Linked DNA regions of Oryctolagus cuniculus. The protein of the gene in region 7 purifies or fractionates together with the protein of the main gene of each other region. This does not show direct contact. Links are inferred from orthologs where the notes say so. Each region holds a gene or a part of one and is shown on either strand. Other genes may lie near its edges. The genes, in order: MED1, MED20, MED7, MED8, MED26, MED31 and CDK8.

Evidence for each region.
Region 1: the proteins of CDK8 (region 7) and MED1 purify together in Homo sapiens (affinity purification with mass spectrometry; 14 studies listed by BioGRID and IntAct, counting the BioPlex papers as one, with this or other methods). This does not show direct contact. The link is inferred for Oryctolagus cuniculus from reciprocal best matches to the Homo sapiens genes CDK8 and MED1.
Region 2: the proteins of CDK8 (region 7) and MED20 purify together in Homo sapiens (affinity purification with mass spectrometry; 8 studies listed by BioGRID and IntAct, counting the BioPlex papers as one, with this or other methods). This does not show direct contact. The link is inferred for Oryctolagus cuniculus from reciprocal best matches to the Homo sapiens genes CDK8 and MED20.
Region 3: the proteins of CDK8 (region 7) and MED7 purify together in Homo sapiens (affinity purification with mass spectrometry; 7 studies listed by BioGRID and IntAct, counting the BioPlex papers as one, with this or other methods). This does not show direct contact. The link is inferred for Oryctolagus cuniculus from reciprocal best matches to the Homo sapiens genes CDK8 and MED7.
Region 4: the proteins of CDK8 (region 7) and MED8 purify together in Homo sapiens (affinity purification with mass spectrometry; 7 studies listed by BioGRID and IntAct, counting the BioPlex papers as one, with this or other methods). This does not show direct contact. The link is inferred for Oryctolagus cuniculus from reciprocal best matches to the Homo sapiens genes CDK8 and MED8.
Region 5: the proteins of CDK8 (region 7) and MED26 purify together in Homo sapiens (affinity purification with mass spectrometry; 5 studies listed by BioGRID and IntAct, with this or other methods). This does not show direct contact. The link is inferred for Oryctolagus cuniculus from reciprocal best matches to the Homo sapiens genes CDK8 and MED26.
Region 6: the proteins of CDK8 (region 7) and MED31 purify together in Homo sapiens (affinity purification with mass spectrometry; 7 studies listed by BioGRID and IntAct, with this or other methods). This does not show direct contact. The link is inferred for Oryctolagus cuniculus from reciprocal best matches to the Homo sapiens genes CDK8 and MED31.

The regions. Positions count from the first base shown.
Region 1 is NC_091448.1:22,905,989-22,910,032, forward strand, and holds the start of MED1 (mediator of RNA polymerase II transcription subunit 1), read left to right. Parts: upstream 1-1,244; 5' UTR 1,245-1,466; coding exon 1,467-1,491; intron 1,492-4,044. UniProt on the Homo sapiens protein: Component of the Mediator complex, a coactivator involved in the regulated transcription of nearly all RNA polymerase II-dependent genes.
Region 2 is NC_091436.1:127,988,594-127,992,657, forward strand, and holds the start of MED20 (mediator of RNA polymerase II transcription subunit 20), read left to right. Parts: upstream 1-1,264; 5' UTR 1,265-1,404; coding exon 1,405-1,418; intron 1,419-3,803; coding exon 3,804-3,958; intron 3,959-4,064. Other genes in the region: BYSL (bystin), read right to left, coding at 615-882. UniProt on the Homo sapiens protein: Component of the Mediator complex, a coactivator involved in the regulated transcription of nearly all RNA polymerase II-dependent genes.
Region 3 is NC_091437.1:44,110,628-44,114,492, reverse strand, and holds the start of MED7 (mediator of RNA polymerase II transcription subunit 7), read left to right. Parts: upstream 1-1,163; coding exon 1,164-1,865; 3' UTR 1,866-1,870; intron 1,871-3,865. UniProt on the Homo sapiens protein: Component of the Mediator complex, a coactivator involved in the regulated transcription of nearly all RNA polymerase II-dependent genes.
Region 4 is NC_091438.1:129,634,518-129,638,748, forward strand, and holds the start of MED8 (mediator of RNA polymerase II transcription subunit 8), read left to right. Parts: upstream 1-1,431; 5' UTR 1,432-1,539; coding exon 1,540-1,545; intron 1,546-2,794; exon of another isoform or gene 2,795-2,813; coding exon 2,814-2,932; intron 2,933-4,231. Other genes in the region: KICSTOR complex protein SZT2, read right to left, coding at 1,320-1,346. UniProt on the Homo sapiens protein: Component of the Mediator complex, a coactivator involved in the regulated transcription of nearly all RNA polymerase II-dependent genes.
Region 5 is NC_091447.1:64,938,934-64,942,947, reverse strand, and holds the start of MED26 (mediator of RNA polymerase II transcription subunit 26), read left to right. Parts: upstream 1-1,214; 5' UTR 1,215-3,904; coding exon 3,905-4,014. UniProt on the Homo sapiens protein: Component of the Mediator complex, a coactivator involved in the regulated transcription of nearly all RNA polymerase II-dependent genes.
Region 6 is NC_091448.1:49,926,626-49,930,767, forward strand, and holds the start of MED31 (mediator of RNA polymerase II transcription subunit 31), read left to right. Parts: upstream 1-1,342; 5' UTR 1,343-1,571; coding exon 1,572-1,599; intron 1,600-2,600; coding exon 2,601-2,678; intron 2,679-2,893; coding exon 2,894-2,990; intron 2,991-4,142. UniProt on the Homo sapiens protein: Component of the Mediator complex, a coactivator involved in the regulated transcription of nearly all RNA polymerase II-dependent genes.
Region 7 is NC_091440.1:96,555,484-96,559,687, reverse strand, and holds the start of CDK8 (cyclin-dependent kinase 8), read right to left. Parts: upstream 2,801-4,204; coding exon 2,673-2,800; coding exon of another isoform or gene 2,459-2,672; intron 1-2,458. Other genes in the region: collagen alpha-1(I) chain-like, read left to right, coding at 2,459-3,611, 3,738-3,985.

The DNA.
Region 1 (4,044 bases), on a different chromosome or scaffold from region 7:
TCAGTAACACGGGGCCATTTCTGCCCCTACGAAATTCACTATGTATAATATGACTCCAAAGAATGACGATAAGAGGAAAAAAACAATAAAAGTGTAATCCTATTTTCAAGGGAATGTTATAATTACCTTTGTGGCAGTAAAGAAACAAGTTGCCAGGTTATTTTTTTTTTTTTTTATCAAATTTATACTGCTGTGCCTACTCAGTTGAATTGCAGTTATTTGCTGAGATGGCTCTGGATATGTGAATGCTATTTTTTAAATGTGGAAAAAATCTGAGACTACAGTCAGTAGAAATTCATTGCTTAAGCAGAAGATGGCCCAAGTCCTTGGGCCCCTGCACCCGTGGAGGGGGGGGGAGGGCAGCAGGGGGACTTGGAAGAAGCTTCAGGTTCCTGCTTTGGATTGGCTAGGTCCAGCAGTTGTGGACATTTGGGGAGTGAACCAGCAGATGGGAGACCTCTCTCTCTGCTTCTGTAACTCTACCTTTCAAATAAATAAATCTTAAAAATAAAAAAGAAATTCATTGCTTAATATTCTTGCAGAAAACTAGGTAAGATCCTACTTTCCAGCCGCATTTTTGAAGGATGTATATGAGAAAATTCTTTTTAAAAGTAGCCTTTAAGCTCCAGTGGCCATGCACTTGCCAGCATTGCTATGGATTTCTCTTCATGAGGATTTATTGACACAAGAGAGAAGACTACACACTGTGATCTGCAGTGGAGATACAAGCTAAACTGCATGTTTCCACCAAGACACAGTGATAACATGCACTTGCTGCTGAGAACAAGTTTATTTTAATCCAAAGCACTTCAGATTTTCAAAACTGCTGCAACTGCTCAAGAAATATTCCTGAAACTTAAAAAATATTAGAAAATGGTAATTAAGTGTCCTAGGCAGCCTTCAAATGTCGTGTTACAAAGAGCCAGTGTTTTTATGACAGTTTTACTGCATCTAGCATATAAGGGAAACTCTACTGTATTTGATAAAACATTTCAGATACCAGTATTCTTTGAAAATCTAGCCTGTAAAAAAAAAGGGGTTCTGTGGGTTTAGTTTCCAAACTAACGGCTAAAATGAAAATGCAAGTTTTCGTACAACAACCGAACTCTACCTGCTCGCAAGTTCAGAACGAAGTACCCAAGAGCTAAGAGACAGCCGGATTTGGAAGAAATCTCGCGGAAGTACGTCATTCACCTCTCGCGAGACTTCAGTATCCCGTCGCTTCCTTTCTCGCGCAGGATCACGGTTTATCTCGCGAGCTTTAGGAAGTTCCGTTGGGGAAGATGGCGGCGGCCGCAGGCACCCTTCTCTTCTTGCCACCGGGGACTTCAGACTGAGCCTTCCCGGGAAGAGTAGGGACTGTTGGTGCCCTGCGTCCCGGGAGCCCGAACTAACGTGGCTCTCCCATTAGTGGAAGGAACGGGCTTCTCCTCTTGTGGCGGACCCAGGCCCTGCCCGTCGTCAGGATGAAGGCTCAGGGGGAAACCGAGGGTGAGTGACAGTGGGGGAAAGGAGGGGGCGGGACTCAACTGGGGGCAGCCAATCTGGGCGAGGAGGTGGGGGCCGATGCCCCGTGGGGGCCGCTTTCGCGGGGGCACTGAGTCCAGGATGCGGGATGTGTGTGTCTTAGATGCTCATCATGCCTTCCTTGATGGTGATAGAGCGCTGACTTAGGGTGGTGGGGGCTCCCAACTTGGGTGAAGATTTCCTTTTTATATAGAGACAGTACCTGGGGCTTCTGGGCACTTTTAGCCTAAAGTGGTGGAAGATCAGGCGAGTGAATATATTAGCTGTTTGCAACTCATTCCGGAAGAGACCATTGAATAATGGCCTAAAAACAGCCATACGGAACCGTGTATCTAAAAGTACTGGAGAGTATTTTGATGTGAATGATGTGATTTGGTCCTGAGGATACAAAATGCCTGCACTTCCTAAAAGTCACAGTGTTCCCATCGGTGGCCGGACTGATTTAGAACTGTTGAAAACGACTTTTTCTATGGAAATTTTTACTCCGATTCTCTGGAGTTCCACACTGCACTTTCAATCACAGCTTACTTTATTATCATTGTTCATCCTTCCAGTTTGTTCTGAGCTTTGTAGATCAGGGGGCTGCCCTATTCATTTTTTTTTTTTTTAAAGATGTATTTATTTGAAAGGCAGAGTTACAGAGAGAGAAAAATCTTCTACCTGCTGGTTCACTCCCCAAATGACCGCAATAGTTGGAGCTGGGCTAGGCCGAAGCCAGGAGCCTCCCCAGCGTCTCCCATATGCGTGCAGGGGGCCACTCTCTGAGGCCATCCTCCGCAGCTGTCCCAGGTGCACCATCAGGGAGCTGGATTGGAAGCGGAGCAGCTGGGCCTTGAACCTTTGCCCATATGAGTTGTCAGCATCCCAGGTGGTGACTTCACCCGCGATACTACAACACCGGCTCCCTTATTCATCTCTGTATAATCTCTGGCACATAGTAGTTGCTCAGAAAATGTTTGATTTGAGTTTCAGACTAAGGACGTTTTACAGAATGCTTCTCAAGAAAAAAAAGGGGTGTGATTTGAAGGAGAAGAAATGTGTGTCCCTTGGGTGTAAAGTGGAAACACCATCAGGCAGGAGTTTTGTATGGTTTGCTTACTACTGTGTCTGCAGCACATACAATTGTGCTTGAATGAATGGCTTGATAGTGGGAAATAGGAATGTGCCCAGAGCAATCAGCTGGCTGAAGCAGCCTACAAACCAGTTTTCCAGAAGATGAAGGCGTGAAGGAAGGAGTCTGAGTCTTGACTGAGATCATCTTGCTGCCTTAACTCTGACCTTCTATTTATTTTTCAGTGCCAGTGTCAACAGTCTGTTTTTTTTTTTTAATGTCTCCATATTGATTATGTACTTTTCCTTCTTTGCTATTCAGTAGTAATGTCTCTGCTTTTAAGAGCATTTCTTTTTGCACCAATGGTAATTCCCATGTTAACTTGATCACACTGCCTCACAGATGTCACCTCAGGCATATCTTGTTATTATTATTATTATTATTATTATTATTTTTAACAGGCAGAGTGGACAGAGAGAGAGAGGTCTTCCTTTTGCCGTTGGCTCACCCTGCAATGGCCGCCGCAGCTGGCACGCTGCGGCCGGCGCATTGCGCTGATCCGAAGCCAGGAGCCAGGTGCTTTACCTGGTCTCCCATGCGGGTGTAGGGCTCAAGGACTTGGGCCATCCTCCAATGCACTCCCGGGCCACAGCAGAGAGCTGGCCTGGAAGAGGGGCAACCGGGACAGAATCCGGCGCCCCAACCGGGACTAGAACCCGGTGTGCTGGCGCCGCAAGGCGGAGGATTAGCCTATTGAGCCATGGCGCCGGCCCTCCTCAGGCATATCTTGTGTTCCTTTCCAGTGGCCCCAGCACAGGTCTTCGCTCATACATGGCAGTTCAAGAACTAGGGGAGGCTCGAAGGGTTTAAGAGGTTCATTCATATTCTTAGTTCAGGAGCTGATCCTTTCTGCCTTTCTCTTAACCTCTGTTGGAAATTCATCTTTTGGTTATTGATTTCTTCCCTGTCCATATAATTTTAGCTATATGGAAAAATATGAAACATCAGATAGGCAATTAGGGTCTGTTTTCTTGATCATACTTATCAACCAATCTCTTAAAATTATGGCCAAAAATTAAGGAAGTATTTTCACATTGAAAATCAGCTAACCATTGTAAGACCATGTTCAAATGTATGCTCTCTATAAATATTATACAGAAATTTCAGGCATGTTATGAAAATGACTGTCACTAAGTTGTAGGCATGGTCGTGAATCATGATTAGACTCGGTTCCTTTTTGGGTTCCCATTAAAACCTTGAATGGAATGTCCTATGGTGTTCCTTTTATCAGACCCATAAGGTATGTGTCTTCTCACCTTTAAAAATATTTTCTTTATGTGGTTTGAAGAAATTATATCGAAAAGTAGTTTAGCCAATTCTTAGATTCGGCTGTGTGGGGGTTTCTTTTCCAAGAAAAACGAGGTCTTGATAAAGGAGTTTCTAATGATGTTTTCTGATTTATGTCG
Region 2 (4,064 bases), on a different chromosome or scaffold from region 7:
ACAAATAAGATAAGCTCTGAGAAGTCGGTTAAACAACTCAGAGGTCAAGGCTTCTCCCCTATGAGAAAACAGTCAACATTTTTCAATCATCTCTCCCTCCACTTGGCCCCTAAACAATACTGCTTTTTCTGTTATGAACATTCGGTTTCAGGTCTCAGCTTCCAGGCTGGGCAACTCTGACCCCTACACGAATGCTATCGTTTCCAGAGAAACGAGACTTTCTTTCCCATGGAATTTACTGTTCTAATTGTCTCTCTCTTGGTTTAGACTGTAAGGTCCCGAGCTATATCTTGTTTATTTCTGCACGCAATCCATCAAAACTCCCAGCATCGTGCAAAGCCGGTAGCGAGCATCCCATATTTACAAAACCGTTGGACAAATGCTAGGAGAACTTGGTGGCCTGAGCCATCACTTCCTATTGGCCTAACTTGCGGGACGCGGCGAAAGGAGCACTAAAAACAGGGAGCGGGCCTGCAGGGTTCGGTCTTCCACCTGCCCTGCTCTCGGTAGAGAGCAACGTGCAACCCGGTTTTGAATCCAAGGTACTCCCCTGCCGGACACCTGTGGGCCGTCCACCCCCCAACCCAACTACTGCCTTCCCCGCGGACGCTCACCCAGCCGCGTGGCGCGCTCCCGAGGCTTGGCGGGCCCGTCCCCAGAGCCGTGCTCGGTTTCCAGCTCCTCCTGTTGCTGCCGTGCTTGCTGCAAAATCCGCCGGCTCAGCCGGGGCCCCACATACTCTTCCTCCTCTTCCCCGGTTCCGCGGCCCCGCCGCTTTTCCCGGGCACTTGACCGCACCGCGTTCCCAGCCAGGATCTGCTCGGCCAGGGGCGCGTGTTTTTCCTGAGCCCCAGCCCCACGGGCCGCTTTGAATTTCGGCATTTTTCTCGATAATGCGGCCCGGCAAACTCACACGTGGGTACGGCGACAGCCCAGGATGTGCGCTCGGCAATGAACGCCCAGGTCTGTGCCGAGAGGCCACGCGCTCACAGCGCCCCTACGCGTTCGGAGGCCAGAAAAGCAGCCAGCACCACTGCACTCCCGCAGGGAACTCCCGAGTCCTGGAGCCGGAGCCCGGAACAAATGCATTGCCTTTGACGTTGACGTCTCTAAATGGTGGCAGCCCGGGCCACGCTTTCCTAGCTTTCTGGATCTAGGACCAGGGTGGCCAACCAAACGGAAACTTCCGGAACTGCAAGCCAGGGGAGGGGCTGGGAATCGGGCCGATGACCTCACTGGAGGCGTCACCCAGAGTCGCTGCTGGTGCGTCTAACCGGCGCTCTGTTTTTACGTACTTCCGGAGCCCCTCCCGCGACCCGAGCCTGCGGTAGTTTTTAGTTCTTGTGGGCTTCGGGAGAGCGCTGTTTCGGCTGTGTGGTCGTGCCGCTTTCCAGGCCTGACGCTATGGGAGTGACCTGGTAGGATCACAAAGGGTTTTATGGGGCGGGACTTGGGTCGTGAAGGTCCCTTGAAACCTGGAGGGTCGGGGACTGAAGTCCGCCGTTCTCCGGGAGCTGAGCAAAATGCCCTCGGGCTGCGTGGATGTGGGCACTCTAAGGGCCGTGAGTCTCGGGCCCTAATGGGCCCCATTGCTCCTGGAAGGAAGCAAGGAAAAGGTTTTATCTCAGGAACCTTATGCATGGGTTGTGTACCCTCTTCTCTTTTTCTTGGTACGTCTTGCTACCCTTGAAATCCTAGTAGTGCAGAAAGTGGGACTTCGAGGTCGGAAACAGGGCTTTTCAGACTAGAACCCACCCGCAGGTAGGGTTAAAGCTGATAGGAGATAGGCAACGAGGCGGTGTTTGTGTGTTCGCCTCCCCCTACCTGTAGCCACCCAATAATCAGCCTGTATCTGGTTCTCATTCGGGTCTACAGGATCAAAATGGAAACTACTGGGAATTAGAAGATCAGGTTTCCAGACACTTTACTTCCTCATGACCTGCCTCCTACTACGTTTATACGGTTGATTCAGTTTCAGTGCACTTAAAAAAAAAAAAGATTTATTTATTTGAAAGGCAGAGTTAAAGAAAGGCAGGGGCAGAGAGAGAGCTTCCATCTGCTGGTTCTCTCCCCAAATGGCTGCAATAGCCGGAGCTGGGCCGATCAGGAGCCTGTAGCTTCTTCCAGGTCTCCCATGGGGGTGCAGGGGCCCAAGCACCTGGGCCATCTTCTACTGCTTTCCCAGGCCATGACAGAGAGCTGGATCGGAAGTGGAGCAGCCGGCTCTCAAATCGGCACCCACATGGGATGCCAGCTCTACAAGCAGCTGCTTTACCCTCCACGCCACAGCACTGGCCCCCAATGGACTTTTAAATCTCTGAACATGTTCTCAAACCCAGATGGAAGAGGATGGGGTGGAGGGGAAGGGTATGAACCCAGGGATCTTGGAGACCTTAGTTCCAAGGTGCTGGGTCTCTGCACCTTTTTTCTTCTTCTTCTTTTTTTTTTTTTTTTTAAGTCTTGGTTGTGAGCATCTCATCAGAGAGGCCTGGAGGCCAGGATATCTGAAGCCAGGAGTTATAGGCTTCTCTTTTTTTTCTCTTTTTTGAAAGATTTGAGAGGTAGAGTTACAGACAGTGAGAGGGAGAGACAGAAAGGTCTTCCATCTGCTCGTTCACTCCCCAGATGGCCCCAATGGCTGGAGCTGCGCCAATCCGAAGCGCTTGGGCCATCTTCTGTTGCTTTCCCAGGCCATAGCAGAGAGCTGGATTGGAAGAGGAGGAGCCAAGACTCGAACCGGCACCCATATGGGATACCGGCACCACAAATGGAGGATTAACCTACTGCACCACAGCACTGGCCCCCTAGGCTTCTCTTTTAAAAATAGTTGGGGGTAGAGGGAACACAATTTCTCCCAGTAGCCAGGGGTTTCTGGGGCTTGCACTCTTGTTTCCCCTACCACAACCCTCCCAAGCCCTGCAGAGTGAGGGTGCTGGTGCGGGATGGAGGTGGAAAAGTTGCAGCACAGGGGTTGGGACTGTGTGTAGCAGATTAAGTTACTGCCTGCAGTGCCGGCATCCCTTATGGGCACTGGTTCAAGTCCTGGCTGCTCCACTTCCAATCCAGCTCTCTGTAATGGCCTGGGAAAGCAGTAGAAGATGGCCCAAGACCTTGGGCCCCTGCACCCACGTGGGAGACCTGATGAAGTTCCTGGCTTTGTTGCCGGCCATTCCTGGGGGCGCCCTTATCAACTTTTCCAAAATCCTAGGACCTCTGTCCCTTGTAGCTTCAGGGATTCTCTGAAAGTACTTCAGAAAGTTCACAGAAAGTATGTATTATGAAAAACTATGCAATGTTTTGGCACCAAAATCTTTCTTTTTCTTTTTTGACAGCCAGAGTGGACAGTGAGAGAGAGAGACAGAGAGAGGGAAAGGTCTTCCTTTGCTGTTGGTTCACCCTCCAATGGCCGCCGCAGCCGGCAGCCGGCGCACCGCGCTGATCCGATGGCAGGAGCCAGGTGCTTCTCCTGGTCTCCCATGCGGGTGCAGGGCCCAAGCACTTGGGCCATCCTCCACTGCACTCCCTGGCCACAGCAGAGAGCTGGCCTGGAAGAGGGGCAACCGGGACAGAATCCAGCTCCCCGACTGGGACTAGAACCCAGTGTGCCGGTGCCACTAGGTGGAGGATTAGCCTAGTGAGCCGCGGCGCTGGCTGGCTGGCGGCTTCTATTTCCGCATCTTTACAACGTGAGGGAGGGGTGGGGTCGTAGCTTCTGGCTTGGCTGAGCCACAGTTCTGTGGATAGAATGGCTAAGTGAGTATGTGTGTGTCTGGGTACTGACACTGTGGTTCTCTCCTTCCCAGTGTGTCCCAGATGCCTGTGGCCGAGGGCAAGAGTGTCCAGCAGACCGTGGAGCTCCTCACCCGAAAATTGGAGATGCTTGGGGCAGAGAAGCAAGGAACGTTTTGTGTGGATTGTGAGACTTATCACACGGCTGCCTCTACCCTTGGAAGCCAAGGTCAGTGAGATGGGTATGTAGGACGGCTGGAATGTGCCTTGGAATTCACGGGCATTAATGAGAGTTCCTTATGCTTTTGTGTATTCCAGAACACATGGCAAGATGT
Region 3 (3,865 bases), on a different chromosome or scaffold from region 7:
GTGGAGAGGATGTGAGACAGTGATGCCTCTTAGGGAGTTGACCCTGGAAAGATGCCAGCTGAAGTCGAGGGGTGCGCATCCGCAGAGGCACACGGGTACTTGCCGCCTCCTGACGTCGGAGGGGTGTGTCTTAAAACTGTTCAGATCGGTTTAAAAGAGCACTTGAGAATCTTCAGATTGGATGATAATACCTATGTTTAAAAAGGAGTAAGTAGAAGTGATTGTGGCCATAGAAGCTGTGGGTTTGAATTTGGGTTTCAAGTTTCTATAGTAGATACAGAAAGGTTAGTAAATTGTAGCATAAAATGTAGAAAAAAGATACAGACTTGGATAATCATTTCATCTAGGAGCCTTGGATGATACTGGGTATCTAGATTTTAGTAATGTTAATTTTGTCAAAATGTTTGAGTTATAAGTATTTACTTTGGGAAATCACTTCGTAATAGTAAAAGTGATTGTAGGGGCTGGCATTGTGGCGCAGCAGGTTAAATGGCTCCCTGCAACACCAGTATCCCATATGGGCACTGGTTTAAGTCCTGGTTGTTCCAATTTTATCTGGCTTCCTCTCATATGCCTGAGAAGGCAGTGGAAGATGGCCCAAGTGCCTGGACCCATATCACTCACAAAGGAGATCCGGATGAAGTTCCTGGATTCTACATGGCCCCGGCCCAGCCCCAGTCCTTAGCAGCTATTTGGGGAATGAAAAGGCAGATGGAAGATATCTCTGTTTCTCCTTCTCTCTCTGTAACTCTGCCTTTCAAATCAATAAAGTAAATCTTAAAATCATCTACCTTCTAAAAAAAAAAGTGATTGTGATATGTGTTTGGGCGACAGCATGTGTAGTTTTGCTATAAAGAGATGTGGAGAAATGGGACATAAAAGGTAAGTGGTGTAGAATCCAGAAGACTTTTCTTTATAAATGAAAAGGTACTCCAAGATATTGGGAGAGAAGTATTAACAGGGAAGGAAAAATAATGTGGGTTGTTGAGAATATAGTGCTTAATTAGAAAAGGGTGGCATCCATTCTGAGTTGTAAGTGTTAGCTTTGAAACTACCGGAAGAAAAGGGGAGTGCTCTGTCTGTAAACACTAAATGTGACAGGTTTGTTTTGTAGTTCTTCTGTGAATCTTTGGTTTGTTTTTGTAGGTGCTTGATCTTCCACAATGGGTGAGCCACAGCAAGTGAGTGCACTTCCTCCACCTCCTATGCAGTACATCAAGGAATACACTGATGAAAATATTCAGGAAGGTCTAGCTCCCAAGCCACCCCCTCCAATCAAAGACAGTTATATGATGTTTGGCAACCAGTTCCAATGTGATGATCTTATTATCCGCCCTTTGGAAAGTCAGGGCATCGAAAGGCTTCATCCTATGCAATTTGATCACAAGAAAGAACTGAGGAAACTCAATATGTCTATCCTTATTAATTTCTTGGACCTTTTAGATATCTTGATAAGGAGCCCTGGGAGTATAAAACGAGAAGAGAAGCTGGAAGATCTTAAGCTGCTTTTTGTCCATGTGCATCATCTCATAAATGAATACAGACCCCACCAAGCAAGAGAGACCTTGAGAGTTATGATGGAAGTCCAGAAACGACAGAGGCTTGAAACAGCCGAGAGGTTTCAGAAGCATCTGGAGCGAGTGATTGAGATGATTCAGAATTGCTTGGCCTCTTTGCCTGATGATTTACCCCACTCAGAAGCAGGAATAAAAGTAAAAACTGAACCAATGGATGCTGATGATAGCAACAATTGTACTGGACAGAGTGAGCAGCAAAGAGAAAATTCAGGTCATCGAAGGGACCAGATTATAGAAAAAGATGCTGCCTTGTGTGTCCTAATTGATGAAATGAATGAAAGACCGTGACTCATGTTAGTTTTCTTTTTTCCCTTTTGGTAAATAGTATAATATTACTGGTTTATTTTCTTTTGGGCAGTCTTAAAATGAATAACTAAAAGTTTAAATGGCCTTTTTCTTGACTCTCCAGCTTTTTCACTTACGTAATGCCATAGGCAGCAATTTCAGTATATAACAAGTGTAGGCAAACAGGGACCCGTAAATTAAGAATAGTGACCTGAAAAAGAAAATGTTTGCTGCAGATGTGTGGGGCATTCTTTTTTTTGGAGTTGGAGTAAAAGTTTGACAGTGTCCTTGGTAATAGCAAACTTTCATCCTTAAAAAGTAAATTTGTCATTTGCTTTAAGAATGAGGGATAGATACTCTAAAATGTGAAATTATGTAATATTTAAAAATTTACCTAATCTGCATAAGGTAGTATAGCATTTTAAAAGAGACCCATTTGTTATGAAACAAAAACTTTATTTTTCCTTGTGATTCTTGTAACTCTACTACCTCAGTAGACTCTTTTTCCTTATCTTGAACCTTGGTAGGTCCCATAAATTGGTTTTTCTCAGTCACTTGGGTAGAAAGTCTTTGGTCAGCTTAGTTAGAAATTTTAGATTACAGATTTTAGTAATTAAGAGGATTGAAATTACAGATTTTTAAAAATATTTGTAATTCTTTGAAATTACACATTTTTAAAGCTAAGCTCAGACATGATCAAGGCTGGTAGACTGCAGTGGGAGAAGGGTTTGGTGGGAGCAACTGCTCGATGTCCACCAGTGATTCGCGCTTCTTCTTGCTGAGATATCACTGTTCAGCCAGTGACCACATTTCCCTACTGCCCTATATCTGTGTGAGGCCATGTGACTAAGTTCTGGGAAATGGAGTCTGTGCCCTAAGATTTCTTGCACGATCTTCCATTCTGTTCCCCAGTCGGCTAGGTGTGTGCCCACACCCATGCAAGCCTGGTGACAACAGTTTATAGTAATTTGGTTCTAGAATGTGAAGATTAGGTCCTCTTTTAACTCCATTCTTCCTTCTACAGCTAACTTAATGTGAACAAGAAATAAACTGTCTTGGGTACTGAGATTTTATTTCTGTACTTTCTTTTCTCCTCCCTCCTTCCCCCTCCCGCCCATTGGCCTCATATCAGGATCTTTGCCTGCTACTCTCTGACAGAAGCCAGTGGTTCTCCATTGTCCTTTTGGACCAGCAGCATTAGCATCACTTGGGGATTTGTTAGAAATCAAGCTCCTCTGGCTCCACCCTGGACCTTCTGAACCAGAAACTTGCTGGTGCACAGGGCGTGGCAAGCTTGGTGTTAAGCCTTCCTCCAATTCTGATGCATGCTCAAGATTACCATCTGTAGAGATGGGCCTTTTCCTGGGTGATGTGCTTTTGATTTCTCCCTCATTTCCTGTTTACTAGCATAGGGATTTGCTGCATTAAGGTCTCACCAACTCACTGTAAAATGGTTACAGGCCAATTTCCCTGTGTGAAATATGCATTCTTTGCATTCAGACAGAGGCTGTTTCCAATTAACACTTCTAGCAGACAAGAACTAATTAACAAGTCTCAAATTTAAGGTTTTTTTTTTTTTTTTTTTTTTTTTACCAACTGGAATATGCTTGGTGTAGACCTTGGGACCAGAGACCCCCAAAGGACATTCTGGTTTCCCTTAATTAAATTAAATTTGTTCCACACCTCCTCCCTCATACCTTGGTCAGTGAGCAAGATGGAAATGGCTCTTGAACAACTCAACAACCGTTTCTCTTTTGACTTTTTAAAAAATACATTGCTGTGAGAGGAGTGTTGGGCTGAGGTACAAAACCAATTTGGGACCACTTTGAAAATCCTTGCATGTAAGAAATGAAATCATTTAACATTGTTAAGAGTCACAACAGTTACTTGTAAATTTGTGTGTGTGTGTGTGTGTGTGTGTGCGCATTGAGGGGAGAGGTATTGATGGATTGCAATGCCATAGGTTAGCTTCACTTTAGCCCAGAGCTAATCAAGGAGTTCTG
Region 4 (4,231 bases), on a different chromosome or scaffold from region 7:
GACCACCTATTTTGGAATCCAGCTCTAATATTTAATACTGTGTAGCTTTGCTACTCATAACATCTCTGAGCCTCAGTCTCCTTAACTGAAAAGGGTGGAGAGGATGAGCTGCCATTGGTAAACCGCTTACAATGGCGGCCGGCATGCAGGTAAGGTATACTATTTGTATTTTTTTTTTTTTTTGACAGGCAGAATTAGACAGTGAGAGAGACACAGAGAAAGGTCTTCCTTCCGTTGGTTCACCCCCCAAATGCCTGCTACGGCCGGCGCTGCACCAATCGGAAGCCAGGAGCCAGGTGCTTTCTCCTGGTCTCCCAGGCGGGTGCAGGGCCCAAGCACTTGGGCCATCCTCCACTGCCTTCCCGAGCCACAGCAGAGAGCTGGACTGGAAGAGGAGCAACCGGGACAGAATCCAGCGCCCCAACTGGGACTAGAACCTGGAGTGCAAGCGCCGCAGGCGGAGGACTCGCCTAGTGAGCCGCGGCGCCGGCCTATTTGCATTCTTACACACATTCCTCACTGTTCCCATCTGTTGGTATGTTCTCCAACAGTGCTGGGCATCTCTACCCAAATCTGGGATTTTATGCTCAGATTTTCTAACTCCAAAAATCTGCTACTCTCAGGCGTATGTACAGCACTTGACCTATCTTACTTTTCAGTTTTCTTTTCTGAAAATGAGAATGGATATTGTGCAAACGTGAATGACACAATGTATGTAAAGTTGCTTGCATGGTCCTTGGCATCTGACAGAGAGAGCTTAAGCCTTTTCTGGCTTCACACACGTGATTCTCACAACAGACTAACAACAAAGAAACAGAATCCAGGAAGTTAAGACTTGCCCCAGGCTTCAGAGAGAGCTAAATAGCAGCGCTAAAATCCGAACTGGGTCTCACTCCGAGCCAAGCCCCCCCCCCCCCCCAATAAAACCAAAGCTGCTTTCCCCATCATGAGTGCTAAAACTAAATTAACTCGTGCTGTTTACTGCACGCCCGTGTCTGAAGACACGCACCGGCTGCTGCCGTCCAGCGCACTGAAACCGCGACAGGAACCAAATCACAGGGTTTATTAACACCACTGTCACTAGGTCAAGTCGGCGACGCGGAAGAGATTTCAGTAAGCACAACAGAGCGAGCGAAGCATTTCTCCTCCAGCCTCCGGAGGAAAGAACGGACTGCGGGGATGCGGGGCTGCAAGGGTCCCTGCCGACGCTACGCGGCCCGGCCGTCGGCCGGCCAGGAGGCCGAGGTCGCGCCTGCCCGCACCGCCCGCTCCTCCCGCTCGGGTCTCAGGGCCCAGCTCTGCGCCCGCCCGCCCCTCACCTCAGGCTCCGGGCGCTCCGAGGCCATCACACAGCCTTCCCGCGCCGGCCCGGGCCAGTGAGGCAGATCCACTGTGACCCCTGACCTGGCTACCTCAGTACCGGGCCGGAACCGGAAGTCGGTGGGCGGGCCAAGCCCCGATTTCCTTGATTGGTGGACAAAACCCTCAGAAACTGGGAAACCGGAAGAGGAAGTGGTTGCGGCTGCCACGGCTGCCGCAATGCAGGTGAGAAGCGGGGTGGGCCTAGTGGCAGCTAGCTGTCTTTGGGTAACGCAGCGAGAGTGGGCTGGCTGCGGAGAGTTAGGAGTTGGACCGAAGAGGAGAGGGCGGAGGCAAGAGGACGCGGGGCCAGGGCAGAGGGGAGACGAGGCCAAGTGGAGAAGCGGCGCGGATGCTACGTGGGGGCGGAGTCCGCTGACAGGGGAGAGACTAGCAAAGTCGGGAGGGCGGAGGCAGCCGCCGCTTGTTTGGGGCTGGGAAAGCATCAGGATGTAGTTTGCGAAAGCCGAGATACAATCCAAGGGAGACGGCCCGAGAGAGACATGAATTGGCTCAAGCCTCAGCCTAGGCTGTTGGATGCAGACGTAACGGCGAATCTGCAATCGGAGAGAAGCCCGAAGGGTGAAGGAATTGTGGGCCGAGCTGGCCAGAAGCTAAGTTGTTATCAACTGAAACCTTGGGTGAAACCCAAGATGATGCTCCTGTCAGGCGCAGTGTGGGGTTGGCATCATTTTTCCCAGTCTGTGCCTGAGAGTTATTAAGACGGAGGAAATGAAGTAAAACGGAAGATACCCCCCCACACCGTGGGAAGGGAATGCCTGCAGACCCCCACTACTTGACATTGCTTGTCATGTGAGCTGGGTGGGTGGTTTTGCTTTTCACTTGTCGCTTTGCTTCTTGGATGGGGCAGTGTTTCAGTAAGTCCTTCTGGGTCAGCTGAGCTTGTGAAAGAGGCACAGGAATATTGGCACAGAAATAAAGGAGAAAGTTGAAACATCACCCACTAAGCACGAATGAGGAGCGAGGGGCAGGGGCGTGCAGAACTAGGGTTCAGAGAAAGCTTCATGTCCAGGCAGATTTCGCAGGGGCTGTGCTGTTGACAAGAACAGGGCAGATTCTAGGACGAAGGAAGCTAGGGCACACGTGCCACAGAAATGTGCATAGGATGATGAATCCCAGGCATTATGTCTGGCAGGAGTTTCTCAACAAGGGAGAGTAGGGCACGTGCAATACAGAGGAAAAGCAGGCCTGGATTTGGAGGTGTGAGAGCGAGAATCAGTTGGTAGGAGGACTTAAGGTCAGGTGAAAGGTCTAAGGGTTGGTGCTGTCTGTAACCCAAATACCAAAGATAGAAAATAACCTGGCTGTCATTCCAGTGAGATCCGGTGTTAGCCAACTGCGGTTGGCATACTCTCTCCGACGCTTTTCAGCCTTCTTCTAAAGGTGTCATGCTCATATCTCTCTGGGTAACCAGCCCATCTCTGTTGGTGCAGAGGGAGGAGAAGCAGTTGGAGGCGTCATTAGATGCACTGCTGAGTCAAGTGGCTGATCTGAAGAACTCACTGGGAAGTTTCATTTACAAGCTGGAGAACGAGTATGACAGGCTAACCTGGTAAGGGTTGCCAGGGCAAACTGGGGAGGGCTCCTGACGAGTAGTTCATCTCTGATGATGTAACCATTTATCAGTTTGCAGATGTCGGGTAATTTGGAAAGAGCTTGGTTTCCCAACATTTAGTAAGTGAAGTTTGGCTGAGGGCCTCCGTGGCAAGGAAGTAGAGAGCGGCCCAGTTTCCCAAGCCACGTTCTTTCTTTCTTTCTTTTTTTTTTTTAATTTTATTTTTATTTATTTGAAAGGTAGAGATATAGACAGAGAGAGACAGAAAGGTCTTCCTTCCGTTGCTTCACTCCCCAAACAGCCACTACAGCCGGCGCTGCGCTGATCCGAAGCTAGGAGCCAGGTGCTTCTCCTGGTCTCCCTTGCGGGTGCAGGGGCCCAAGCACTTGGGCCATCCTCCACTGCCCTCCTGGGCCACAGCAGAGAGCTGGACCGGAAGAGGAGCAACCGGGACTAGAACCTGGTGCCCATATGGGATGCTGGCACCGCAGGTGGAGGATTAACCAAGTGAGCCAAGGCACCGGCCCAGCCACGTTCTTTCTAGCTTTTGATTCTTTTTTTTTTTTTTTTTTTGACAGGCAGAGTGGATAGTGAGAGAGAGAGACAGAGAGAAAGGTCTTCCTTTTGCCGTTGGTTCACCCTCCAGTGGCTGCCACGGCTGGTGCGCTGCGGCCGGCGCACCACGCTGATCCGATGGCAGGAGCCAGCTGCTTCTCCTGGTCTCCCATGGGGTGCAGGGCCCAAGCACTTGGGCCATCCTCCACTGCACTCCCTGGCCACAGCAGAGAGTTAGCCTGGAAGAGGGGCAACCGGGACAGAATCCGGTGCCCCGACCGGGATAGAACCCGGTGTGCCAGCACCGCTAGGTGGAGGATTAGCCTAGTGAGCCGTGGCGCTGGCCGCTTTTGATTCTTACCCTTTTCATCTCTGGTCAGGAGTTCTCTCTCAGTGGGTCTTCCCACTATATCTCAGTCCATGCTGGATCTCTTGCCACTAATGTGGCTGTCTTTTAGATCCAGCCTACTGCTGAAGTATGGCTCCTGTTTCCCGGCAGAAAGGAGGCTTTCACCCAGTTTCTGATTTTTTTTGTCATAGAATAGCCATGGTTCCTGTTTTCCAGTGTTTCTCACCCCATTCAAACAATGAACTGCCTTTTTCTGCCTCCGTCAGGAGCTGAAAGCGTGTCCCTCTTTCCTAACCCCGCATTCCTGTTCCAGGTCTGGGTCCTGCCGAGGCTCGTGATGGGGATGAGTCTTTTGGGGGTCAGTCTCAGTTTTCCTAATCTGAGGACTTGTC
Region 5 (4,014 bases), on a different chromosome or scaffold from region 7:
AGCCGGCTCAGCGCTGTGTGCGGGTCCCCTCTCGCGGGCCCCAGGTCCTGTGCAATCTCCTGTAGCTGGCATTCTTATTAGCGGTTTCTGGGAGAGGGGGAGTTGCCGCCGGCCCAGTGTCCTCACAGAGGGCAGAGGTGAAGGCCTCGGTGTGGCTGCCTCGCTCGCTTGCTCGCGCTCCAGTTGTGTCCACGTCGGAAAGGAAGCAGCTTGCAGGTGACATTCTGAGACCTGCTCTGCCCCCAGAGGGCCGAGATCAGGATTCTGAGTCCAGGGGCTGTGTGAGCCAGTGGGCCTTGGGCCGGGAGGAGCTGTGCAGACGTGAAGTGGGCGGGAAGCGAGGAGGGTCGGGGCGGGCGGTGGCTGCGGAGCGCAGAGCCGCCGCCCTCTGCTGAGCGGAGCTCCCACCTGAGGCCTGCCGTAGCTCTCCTCCCAGGGCCACCGTGCGTTTGCACGCCTGGGAACCTCCACCGCTGCCGCAGCAGCTTCCCATTTCTGGGCGACTCGTGGGGAGCAGCCAGGCCTCCGCCCGCTGCCCGCACCCAGGCTGGTGCTTCTGTCCCCGACCAAGGTTCCAAGTGCGATTTTGTGCTCGGCCCGTTGCTGCCCGTGGCAGGAGCTCAGTGCACAGGGTCGTCACCCCAGGGACGCCGACAGGCCGCCCAGAGGGCTGATACTCCGGGGGCAGCAGGCCGGCCCGCCAGTGAGGAAGTGCTTTTGCAGGTGGTCACTTGGTGGCTGTGACTGGGATATCCCCCCCCCCCCCCCCAGCCGGGCTGTTCTTCCTCTGGGAAGCCGTAATGAGGGACTCTGCCCCTGTGGGTTTGAGGCTCCCGGGGCGGCGGGGGGGGGGGGGGGGGCTGTGGAGGAGGCGGGAGCGGGCAGCGCTGGGCTGTGTGGGGGCCGCAGGGGCCGCCCCTCCTTGCAGTGACTTGCAGCAGAGGGAGCTGCCTGGGGACTCGTGGGGTTTGTCAGAAGCAGGAAGACTTGGGCTGAAGAGCACGGCTGGACCAGAGCACACACGCGTGCACCAGCGGGGCCCGCTTCCTTCCCGTGTCCGCGCACACACGGCGCATGCCCAGCCCTGTGCAGGCGGCCTCCTGCCCAGCACCACGCAGGCTGTGCTTGGGCGTGGAATGGGAGCGACGGCTTGCTCCCTGATGAGCACTTCCAGAGCTTTGCGAGTAAGTGGTTTTGTAAATTCTGTCTAGACCAGTTCTGCCTTTAAAACTAATAATAAACCAGCAGCAGTGTCCACACTGTTAGATTCGGGGGAACCCGTTTGCGCAGGTGCTTTGGGGCCGCAGCCCCGGGAGGGGGGTACTGCCCACTGCCTGGGGCGTTGGAAGGGTGGCCAGACGGGGAGTCATCGGGCCAGCACGGCGCGGAGCAGGCTCCAGGGCTGTGGATGGGCCCTTGGCTCAGCGTTGAGTGTGGGCTGGAGACCCCGTGCGGCCTGGGGAGAGCACAGAAGCAGCACCAGGGCCATCTGGAGGTGGCCCTGTGGTTTCGAGGAACGTTCTGGAAACTGTGCATTTCCTGCTGGGGAGGGTCAGAGTCTGATGCCACTGTCCCTTCAGGCTGGCGGGCGGGGCCTGTGCAGCCTTCTAGCTGGGTGGTCTTTCTCCTTGGGCCATCTGTTTCTTTACCTGGAAATGGGGGCGTGGGGGTGAGCACTGAGAGATGTGGGCTCCTGTGCAGCCCGCCGGGCCGGGGCAGGCTCAGGGCTCAGGCCTGAGGGAGCGTGGCACACCGCCAGCTGCAGGCCGGAGAGGGCCCTCCCCGAGGTGGAGACGGGGCTGGGAGCGGAGGGACCTCTCCGACTGCACGGCCGCGTGTCTCAGTTCCTCGTTTCTGCTCAGGGCTGGAAATCCCCCGCGGGCAGCGTTGCTCGGGCGCTGCAGGCGCAGCCCCGCTTCCCCAGGTGCGGCTTTGCCGAGGCCGCCTGGGCTGCAGGTGCCCTCACAGCCCCGCGGCAGTGCGACTCGGACGGCGGTCTGGGCTCCTGGGGGCGTGAGGGTGGCCACAAGGCAGAGCGGCCACGGCCTGTGACCCAGCTGTGGACTCTGCACCATGTGCCTGGCTCCCGGCTGCTCCCGCACGGGTGCGGCGGTGTCCTCTCCACCTATGGAGACGGGCAAGGGCTTTTGCCCATGTCCTCACCCTCGTGTGACAGACCTGGAACACCCCTCCTGCCTGCTGGCTGGTCTCGGCTGCCCGTGCACCTGCCCTCTCTGTGGCCGTAGCCATCCTGGGCTCCCGCTAAGGGAGAAGCTTGAGTCAGGCCGCGGGCCGAGCGCTCAGCCCTGCCTTCTGGCTCAGGCACGCAGGCCGTTTCTGTGCTGGGACTGGCGGGCGGCAGACCCGCAGCCTGCGGGAGGCCCGGCGAGGAGCTCCGGGGGGCTCAGCAGATGGAGGGGCCGTGTCCTTTGGAGCAGAGGTTAGGCCAGCACGGCCCCCTCCCCGCACTGGTGGCAGATGGTGGAGCCACACGCCGCGGAGGGGCTGCCATCGGGTCTGTGCTCCCTCACCTGAGTGCCTGCCAGTCGTCTGGAGCCGAGACCTTCCGTCCGGTGTTAACAGATCAGGTGTGATTTGTCGTGTATATACATTTGTTATCTTCGGCAAATTTCAGACATCAAAGCAGAGAGGAGTCTGCTCCGCGTCCTGTTGGGTGGACAGCACGTGGAGCCAGTCCGCTCTGCTGCCGTCCCATCCCCGGGAGAGGGGCAGCGCTCCTGGGCCCCGGGCTCCCTGTGGGCGCTCCCCTGTGTGGGTCCGGCCCCGCTTCCTTCGCGTGTCGGCTGTGAGACGTGCTGGCCACACCTGTGCAGGAAGCCTCAGGTCTCCTGGGGCGTCCGCGCCTGCGCTTGGGTCTCGGTGGCGCGGGCACGGGAGAGCCTCGAGCGCCCGGCATGCATGCCGCACGTCCGGCTGGCCACCCTCACCTAGATAGCAGGTCACCTCTCCCTGCTAGTTCCGCCCGCCTTGACCCTCCAGCCCAAGACCAGGCGTCCCCACTCGTGTCTGTGAGACCCCAGAGACACGGGCTGGCCGGTGTGTCCTTTCCTGTCGGCCCCGAGTGCTCTCCAGGCCAGGATCCCGTGTGACAGTCCACAGCACCCCTGGGACTGCTGCCCGAGAGCCCTCGGGGTGGGCACCTCAGGGCCCCCTCCCACTCCAGGCCAACATGGTGGTGGTGGTGATCGGGACGGCCCCTTGGTGGAACTGGGCCGGCACCGGCTTCTCTGCTTCGAGGAAAGCAGTGATGTGCATCTGCTCGGGGAGCCCTGACAAACCTAAGAGGCCGCAGTCCCTGCCAACTCCTCCCTTCTCCGAAAGCCACTTGGCAGAGGGTGGGGAGGTGTTTGGCCTGGGAATGAATCCCCAGGAAGAAGCTGCGGGCCCCCAGCGCCCTGTGTGCCGTGGGCGGTGTCGGCAGAGCCGCCTTAGGCTGCCTCGGGGGCAGCGCCTGTGCTGGCATTCGGATCAGGCACATTTCTCCACGGCTCCGGGAGCGACCGAGACCTGGGGCGCGGCAGCAGCGAAGGCTGGTGGGAGACAGAGTGTGTGGGAGCCAGCCCGCGCCCCCCGTGTCTGTCCCCTCTCGGCCTTGCCCTGGTGGTCCGTCCTGGCCGCCAGAGCCCCTGTCAGCCACAGGCTCCCTTCACTGACGGTGGGAGGCCACTGGAGGGGTATGGTGTGGTAGGCGAGGCAGGTTTCCCGTGGCCAGCTCGCCTCTTGCTCCTCAGGGCCCCGCACGGCTGGGTGCTCGGTGTCCCCTGGGACAGAGTGGCCGTGTTGGGCTCTGCAGGGCTGTTGGATCAGGGACCTTCCATGTCCTGCCCGCCTTCGTGGGGGGCCGGCACTGCATTGCTGGGGGTGGGGGCCTGACTGCTCTGGAATGTTCCGCTGGTGTTCAGGGGCACGCACCCCTCTCTACCTGACCTGGCTTTGTAGGTGGAACCCCAGGAGCCTGGCCTCCTCCCCAGCGGGTAGAGAGATCTGCAGAGG
Region 6 (4,142 bases), on a different chromosome or scaffold from region 7:
GTCTAAGGACTGGGTTGCAGCAGTTTTATGGTAGCCTCTGGGGCTTTATGACTTCTCCTGGCCTGAGCCCCTATTCCAGGGGATGGCCCGGTTCACTGCCCTGCCTTTACATGTAGGAGCCCGAGTATGGACTGGAAATGGCAGATGTTCTGCTCCCAGTAGTAGACACAATTGGGCCATCGCTGGCCTGCTGGAAGACCCCTTTGTCCTGCTGGGTAAATCACTGACTGCAAGGCAGGGTCAAAAAGCAACAGACACCCCCCCCCCACACACACACACACACTGTCCAGGGGAGGGCACGGCCTCCCACCCTCCTCTGGAGCCTCTCCCAGGCCTCTCCTCTCCCAGCTGCAGCGCGTCTCCAACTGGGCACCACTGACACGTTAGGCCCCGTGATTCTGTGGTTTTGGTGCTGGGATCCCTGGCCTCTACCCACGACTTGCCAGCAGCACTCCTTGTACCTAACACAAACGTCTTTAAACATCGCCAAGTATCCCCTGGGGGACAAAATCCTCCCCCCCCCCTCCAGGATGAGAACAACTGTTCTGCAGCCCACACGGAAGGCAGAAGGTATTTTAAAAATGCGGTTGCATCATGTCAGTCCTGTGCCGAAAACTATGCAGCGTGTTCCTGTTAGACTAGAACCTGAGTTCCCGTGGTGACTCAAAGGCCCTCTAGAAACTGGTCCTGCCTGTTGCCGTCCCCTCTCTGCCTCTCACACACGAAGCTCCCAGCTCTCCCTTCTTCTCTCGGGGAACGTTGCAAGCTTGCTCCCACACACCCTTCGCACTTCTCTTCCTCCGGCCTAGGGTGCACTCCGCTGAGACCCCCGGGTGGGGGTGGGGCGCTCGGTGTCACCACACAGGTCTCAGCTCCACTGTGGCCTAACCAGCAAGGCCTTCCCCGTCCATCCCTCTATACCACCACTCTCCGCCTCTTTGCCCGTCAGCCCCGCGTGCGGGCTTTGTCACGCGTGGGGAGGCCCAGGGCGCGGCTCGCGCAGGAACCCAGGAACCGCGGCTGGGCTGTTTCTCACACCGACATGTGGGCTGCCTCCAGGAAGCCAAAGGCGACTGGGGGACCCGGCTGGACACAGTAGGCAGCCTCGCCTCCAGCCGCTTTGACGAGGCCCTGAGCACTCGGGAGGGCACGAGGGCGCCGCTTCCTGGAAGGCGAGGTGTCCACACTGGGGTGAGGACGGCTTTCCCCCAAGGGCCGAGGCCATTCTATAGGTGTTGAGGGGACCGCTCAGCACACCTCTACGCTACGTCACGAGGTGAGAAATGACGTCACAGTAGCGACCTGCCTCCTAGGCGGCAATGCCACTACACGCTGACGTGAAACACCTCCAAATACGGCGCTCCCCGGGCCGCAGCGCCCGGCTCAGGAGCCCGAGCGGGCGGAGCCAGCAGCGATGGGCGGAACCGCTGTCCTCCCAGCGCGGCTGGGCCCGCCCCCGTATCCCACAGTGCCCCGGGGCCGGAAGCGGGGTGCTGAGGCTTCCGGAACTTCCCCAGCCAGACTGGGCAGAGTCTCTGCCGAGCTGGTGAGAGTTCGCGTCGTTCCTTGTTATGGCCGCCGCCGTCGCCATGGAGACAGGTGAGTCGCGCTCTGAGCCGTGCGCTCCGCCCGGACCCCTTCTCCTGCCTGCCCGGGGCCTCCTTCAGGCCTAACGGAAGGGGCTTGGAGTGGGACCCGGGAGGCGAGAGGGCTCTTGGAGCATCTGGGAAGGTGCCGGCAGCTTTGCCTTTTTCAGAGTTTGGTGGCTTCGCACATGTTTTCTCCCCGCTTGCTGTTCACTCAGCGACCCCACCTTCGTCCCAGCGTGGGTGAGACTGAGGGACAGCACTGGAATCTTTTCTTTAAAAAAAAAACAAAAACTAGTATAAAGAGAACAGATTGCATAGGTACAGTTCCAGGAGACCCATACTTCCCTCTCTCCTCCTCCCCCCACTCGCGTTCCCTCCCCTACTTTTCATTTTTTTTGTTGCCAAGGCATAAATTTGATACAGTCTATAATAACGGCTTATTTCACCACGAACCGTAATATAGAGCCAGTCAAAAGTAGGAAGACCACCAGGAGCATAAACAGGGGCTGAAAGTGACAGTCGTGTCACCAGACAGCACTTGGGTCTGCTTCCGCGGGAGCTTGCATGAGTTTGGGGCGCCCTGGACCAACTTGCGTTATCCTGCCACTGATGCTGCCATTCGGGGTCTTCCGGCGCTCCGCAGTCTCCTAGCTCGCACTCGGAGCTCCTCACCGCCATCGACAGTAGCTACAGTGTATTAATAAAATACAGGGAGGTAGACTGTCACCCCATACCCGGTCACTCACTGCTGAGATGGCTCCAGTGACCCACCGAGGGAGGTCTCCTGCCGCATCTGTGTTCCCCTTGTCTCTGATGACTTCTCTTCAACGTTAGAGGGGTTTCTAGCTGCCTTAATCAGAGTTCTCCTTTTCTTAGGTTCCTAAGGAATTATGCCTCCCAGAAGTGTAGCTCAGCATTACGCAGGTTTCCTGGCTGCTGTTTCCTTTCGACCCATCGGTGTTGTATTTAGCGACCTTTGTCTTGGATGATTTTTGCTGTCTTCTCTCCTAGATGATGCTGGAAATCGACTTCGGTTTCAGTTAGAGTTGGAATTTGTACAGTGTTTAGCCAACCCAAATTACCTTAATTGTAAGTTGTTCACCTAATTAAATTGAATAGCTATTAATGATTTTTTGACAAGAGTTGCATTTCCTAATAGTATCTACTTTTATATATTCTCAATTGAATAGAATTGCACTTAAAGCAATTCTGTAGCTGTAACTGAGCAAACTAGGACTTGTGGGCTGGTGGTAGTCCAAGCATCCGTCTGACCTAGGTTTTGTTTTTTTTTTTATGCCTTTCAGTTCTTGCTCAAAGAGGTTACTTCAAAGACAAAGCGTTTGTTAATTATCTTAAGTACTTGCTGTACTGGAAAGAACCAGAATATGCCAAGTATCTAAAGTAAGTTTAATTTTTTGTAATCCTCGGTGTATGTATGTTTTACTAAAACCCAAAACGTGGATACGTAAATACTTCTTAGTTTCACACTGGTAAAAATGTATGTTGAATCTGCACGTTCTGCGCGTTCGGTTGTCACTGCCTACCTCTTAATTTGGATTCCTGCAGAAATCACTCACTGTTGGCTCTGTTTTCTGCTCTTTCCTCACTACCTCACCCAAAGCCAATAAAGCAACGCGATTTTCTACCCAGAAGCCGATGTGGTCCCTGGGAACTGTAGCTTAGAACATGCTGTCTGTTCCTTAGACCTGGGGGGCCCTCCCTTCCTGGCAGTGAAGTCTGCGGCCCGGCCGCATCTGGCCCAGTCTTCTTGACCTCCTCTCTACCAGTCTCCCCATTTCTCTGGGTTTCTGGTCTGAAGGACTCTGGTCCTCACATGCAGCAACATAGCCATTGACTGATAATAAAAGATCACACAGAAGTACCTGTGAGGAAGATGTGGAGGATGTCACTGTGTCTTCCAGCAGCGATCTTTGTGCCCAAATGCTTTGCATTCAATAACTAAAAAACACTGCACACTCACAACTGTTTCCGTACACATGCCGGTCCTTCAAAAAGTAAATGGAAAATGGATCCAAAAGACGAGTTTGTATTGGTGCAAAAAACTTTTGGAGTCCATGTGTAAGGGATTTCCAGAAGTTCTTGAAAAATTGTGTAATATGAAATAACCAAGTATAGACTACAAGCTTTTTATATCCAAATAAGCTTTTAATTCAGGTTTTTCCACAAACTTTTTGAACTACGTGTATGTGTGTTTGCCATTCAAGTTGTTCCAGAGACACTTTGACTTGAAGGCCAATTACATTTGCAAGGGGCATATTATGACCAGAAACCTATTCCCTTTCAATGCGGAAGGCTGCACTTACTACTTTGCTTAGTATTAGCCAGGTGGTTGGAAAGCAGTGGTGAAGCTTTTCAAATTTTTTGAAAAATTATTTTATTTGGAAGGCAGACAGAGGGAGAGAAAGAAGTCGCCCATCTGCTGGTTCACTCCCCAAATACCCACAGCAGCCATGGCTGCGCCAGGCCAGAAGCTGGGAATCAGGAACTCAGCTTGCATCTCTCATATGGTGGCAGGGACTCAAATACTTGAGC
Region 7 (4,204 bases):
TTGATCAACTTATTATAAAAGATTAAACTGCCAGAAACTTTATTTTACCAGGACTAAAATGTATTAAATTACATTTTACTGACATAAGATCAAAAGAACCTCATAACTACAATCTGGTATTTTACCAGAGTCAGGTTATAAAAAGAAGCCAAACCAAGAACTATTCCCTCTGGAAAACAAACTGCTTTAAGCAATTTTTTTATATATATTTTTTTTTATTTGACAGGCAGAGTTAGACAGTGAGAAAGAGAGAGACAGAGAAAGGTCTTCCTTCTGTTGGTTCACCCTCCAAATGGCTGCCACGGCCGGAGCTAGGCCGATCTGAAGCCAGGAGGCAGGTGCTTCCTCCTGGTCTCCCATGCAGGTGCAGGGCCCAAGCACATGGGCCATCCTCCACTGTCTTCCCGGGCCACAGCAGAGAGCTGGACTGGAAGAGGAGCAACCGGGACTAGAACCCAGCACCCATATGGGATGCCGGCGCTGCAGGCAGAGGATTAACCAAGTCAGCCATGGCGCCGGCCCCTGTTTTAAGCAATTTTAAAACTCTCTTGACATTTGATCCATTAAAAAAAAGTTCATCATATAAACAGAATCATTAAAGGATGCTGAAAAACAAACCCAAAGGATTACAAATAAAAACTTTTCCCAAATGCAATGTTACTGGTTCAACCATCACAAATAACTAATAAATGTTTCTACACAATACACCAGCTTTTTAAAAAATAATTTACTATTTTTAAATTCTTTTCAAATTATTCTTAACAGGCTAAAATAAAATGACCATTAAGATATAAAATAACAAAATAACAGTACTTCCTACCAACACACAATATTAGTTTTTAAATAAAATCTGAATTACAACAAATTTGCATATTTTATTAGCTTAAAGTGGGAATTTATGAAAATAGAGCTGGCTTCTCAAAGGTATTAAAACTAATTTAAAGTCACTAGAATTTTATAAAACAGACAACAAATTGGCCAAATGTACTACCATGTCTAATCTTCTGGGATTGGAGATTGTATGAATATGCCCAAAGTTACATAATATTGGGGGGTGGGGAGATGGTTGATGGCCTTTCAAAAATGTATGGTAAATTAATAAGGATAATTTCTAAAATATATGTCATAACAGAGTAAAACTTCAATGAGAAATCTAATTAGACAACACCAGAGTCAGCAGTATCTCCAGACACTGATTTCTCAAATGTCACCAGACTATCCATTACGCTAAAAAGTACCTTTAAATGCACGTAGACCCAGAGCAGCAAGTTTTCAAATCCTTACCTTTTGTGGACATCTGTACTACTTTACTACTGCATCAAAGCACTGAAATACATGCTCCAACTTAATTAGAACTACTATCTTTCTCCTGGGCTCCATTTTAATATTTTTTCAAAAGACACTTCATTCAATAAACCGAAGAAATAGAATGAGTACATATACATTTCCTTTTCCAACATCCAGAATATTAAAGTATTTCTAAATACGGCCTCCCCCTACTCTCCCAGAGAACTTGCTTCAGCTTTATGAATGGTTTCACGTTTTTTAGTGCTAATGTATTTCTGAACATCTGAACATCCCCTCCTACCTAATTTGAAAAAATAAAATTACTTTCAACATCCAACAGCAGCCATGCAAGTAAAGCTATTTTGTTTCCAATAAAACCCAAAGATTATATAATAAGCTATGACATTACCTTCCCAACAATGTTTCCCAATATCTCCTACAGAGACAACATCCATTTTCACAAGAGGAAAACAAGTAGTGAATAAAATATATTTCCTCCCCAACTAAGAACTGCCTTCTCTTTTGTCAATATTACAACACATTCACCTACTGACAAAGGAAAAAGGAACACTTCACTAGCCTATTAGGAAACTAAACTGGGAGCATTACCAGTCAGAGATTTAATTGAGTTATTTCTAGGGAAGAATATTTAAAGCAGAGATTATTTAAAGCACACAGTCAGGTGCTAAATGTTGGGGAAACAGCCGGCACAAGGCAGCCCCTATTTGTCACTTGTCTTTTTCCCCACTACCCACCCTGCACCAAACCCCCATTGTTCTAGGTAAAAACTCACAGCTAATGATACCCAAATAGCAACTGCTACATCTGTGTGGCCGATGGTCACGAGGAACGCTCCAGAACCATACTGACTTGCTGCCTTCTTCCCCACAAATAAAACCCCAATTTGATCATAAATTGGTCACAAACTGGTGGGGGAAAGGCTCGCAGCTTCCCTTGCAGACTCACGGATGTCATTCCAGAGTCGGCTGAGCCAAGCCCCAGAACAGTACCATCATCAACCGACCGACCGGAGGAAAAGAAAGCACTGCAAGTGCGCTTTACAAGCGCATTTACAAGAGGGAGGAAAAAATCCAGGACCGAAACCCTCGGAAAGTATCCAGTCCACTGGGCAGAGGCTCCTGTCCCCACCGAGCACCCCAGCACAACGCAGATGCAGCACGCAGGCTTTCCGGTGGGCTCGCAGCCCTCGTCCACCACTGCCTCCCCAACACCGGCTGGCGGGGACACCTGCGGGCGTCGAGGGAGTCAGCGCCCCGCACCCCGGCGGCCGACTCTCCCTCGGGGCTACCTGCCTCGGCCTGCGGGAGCGCCGCCCGGCACGCGCGCGCGCGCGCACACACACACACGCACACACTCACACTCACCCATCTTTCCTCTTGGCTTTGTAGACGTGACCATAAGTGCCTCGGCCAACTTTGCAGCCCTCGTATTCAAACAGGTCCTCGACCCGCTCCCGCTCGCTGCTCAGCTTCACTTTAAAGTCATAGTCCATTGTCACAGCCTCCGAGGCCGGAGAGCTGGGTCGGGGGGCCGGGGGCCGGGGTGGGGACCGGGGAAGCACGGGCAGCCGCAAGCCCCCGGGAACCCGCCCGCTCTACGCCCGCCGGCCGCAGCACCAGCGCGACGGATGCGGCAGCAGCAGGAGGAGGCCGCGCGAGAGCGCCGGGGACATCCAGGAGGGCAGCGGGGCAGAGGCCGGCCGGGGTGGGGAGGTTCCCCCCGGGCGAAGGAGAGCCGAGGGACGACGGCGGGGGGTGGGGAGCGGGTGTCTCTGCCCTTGTCCCCGCGGGCTCCGCGGGCGCCGGCTCCGCTGCTCTCTCCGGCCGCGCGTGTCCTGCTCCCGCTGCGGTGGGAGCGGCGGGGCGGCCGCGGTGGGCTCTGCTTCTCTCACACGCGCACTCACGCCTCACCCTCTCTCTCTCACACACACACGCTCACACTCACTCACTCACTCACTCTCCCATACACTCCAACAGAAAGGCAGCGCCGCACAACAGCCGGTACCTCCTCAGAGAGAGGAGGAGGGAGGGCACCCGCGGAACACGGCCGCGGCTGTCGCAAAAGCGTCGCGAAGCCTGGGGCAGCCTCGGGCCCCGACTCCAGCCGGCTCCCGCGGCGGCTGGCAGTACCTGCTGGCGCCCGCACCCCGAGGGCACTGAGGAAGGGAGCCGGGGAGCCACTGCCCAAAGCTGCCGCCAAACGTACCACGTGGATGGGCGCCCGCGGTGGCCCGGCCCCAGACTACAACGCCCAGAATGCTTGGGCCGCCGCTGTGCCGCCCCTTTACGGCTCCACCCCGCACGGTGGGAATATGGAGTGTTGCGTGATGGGATTAGTAGTCCGAGACGAGATTAGTTTCATTCACTTAAAGGGATAAAAAAAAAAAAAATGTTTTCTTCTTTTTCTTTTTCTTTTTCTTTTTCTTACAGTGGTATTACTGGAGTCCGAGTTGAACCAAAACTGGACTCAAGAGGCTCACGTACGAGGGAAGCTAAAGAATATTACACTTATATTCTGTGTCTCTTCTGAACTCCGGAGATTAAAGAACATCATCTTTATCGGACGAATGCTATTTGTAAACAGCGCCCTGGCAGCCACTGGAGACACTCGTGGCGGTACCAGTCCGATAAGGGGCCGCGCAGTGGTATCAACGTACCGGCATTCACTGGAAACCTAGAATGCGCTGATGGGAAAGCGAACCAATAACGAGCGTCCACACTGCTCCTGGACGCTGTTGCCCTAGTCCCGGACGGCTCTCACGGTCCTTCCCGTCCATTCAGAGGCGACGCTATTTTGAGTATGGCCTTTTGTACTGCTGCCCTTAAAGCACCAGTTTGGGGGTATAATTACTAGGTCTAAATCCACAGACGTTCGTTTGCTGATCATTTTAAGGTAG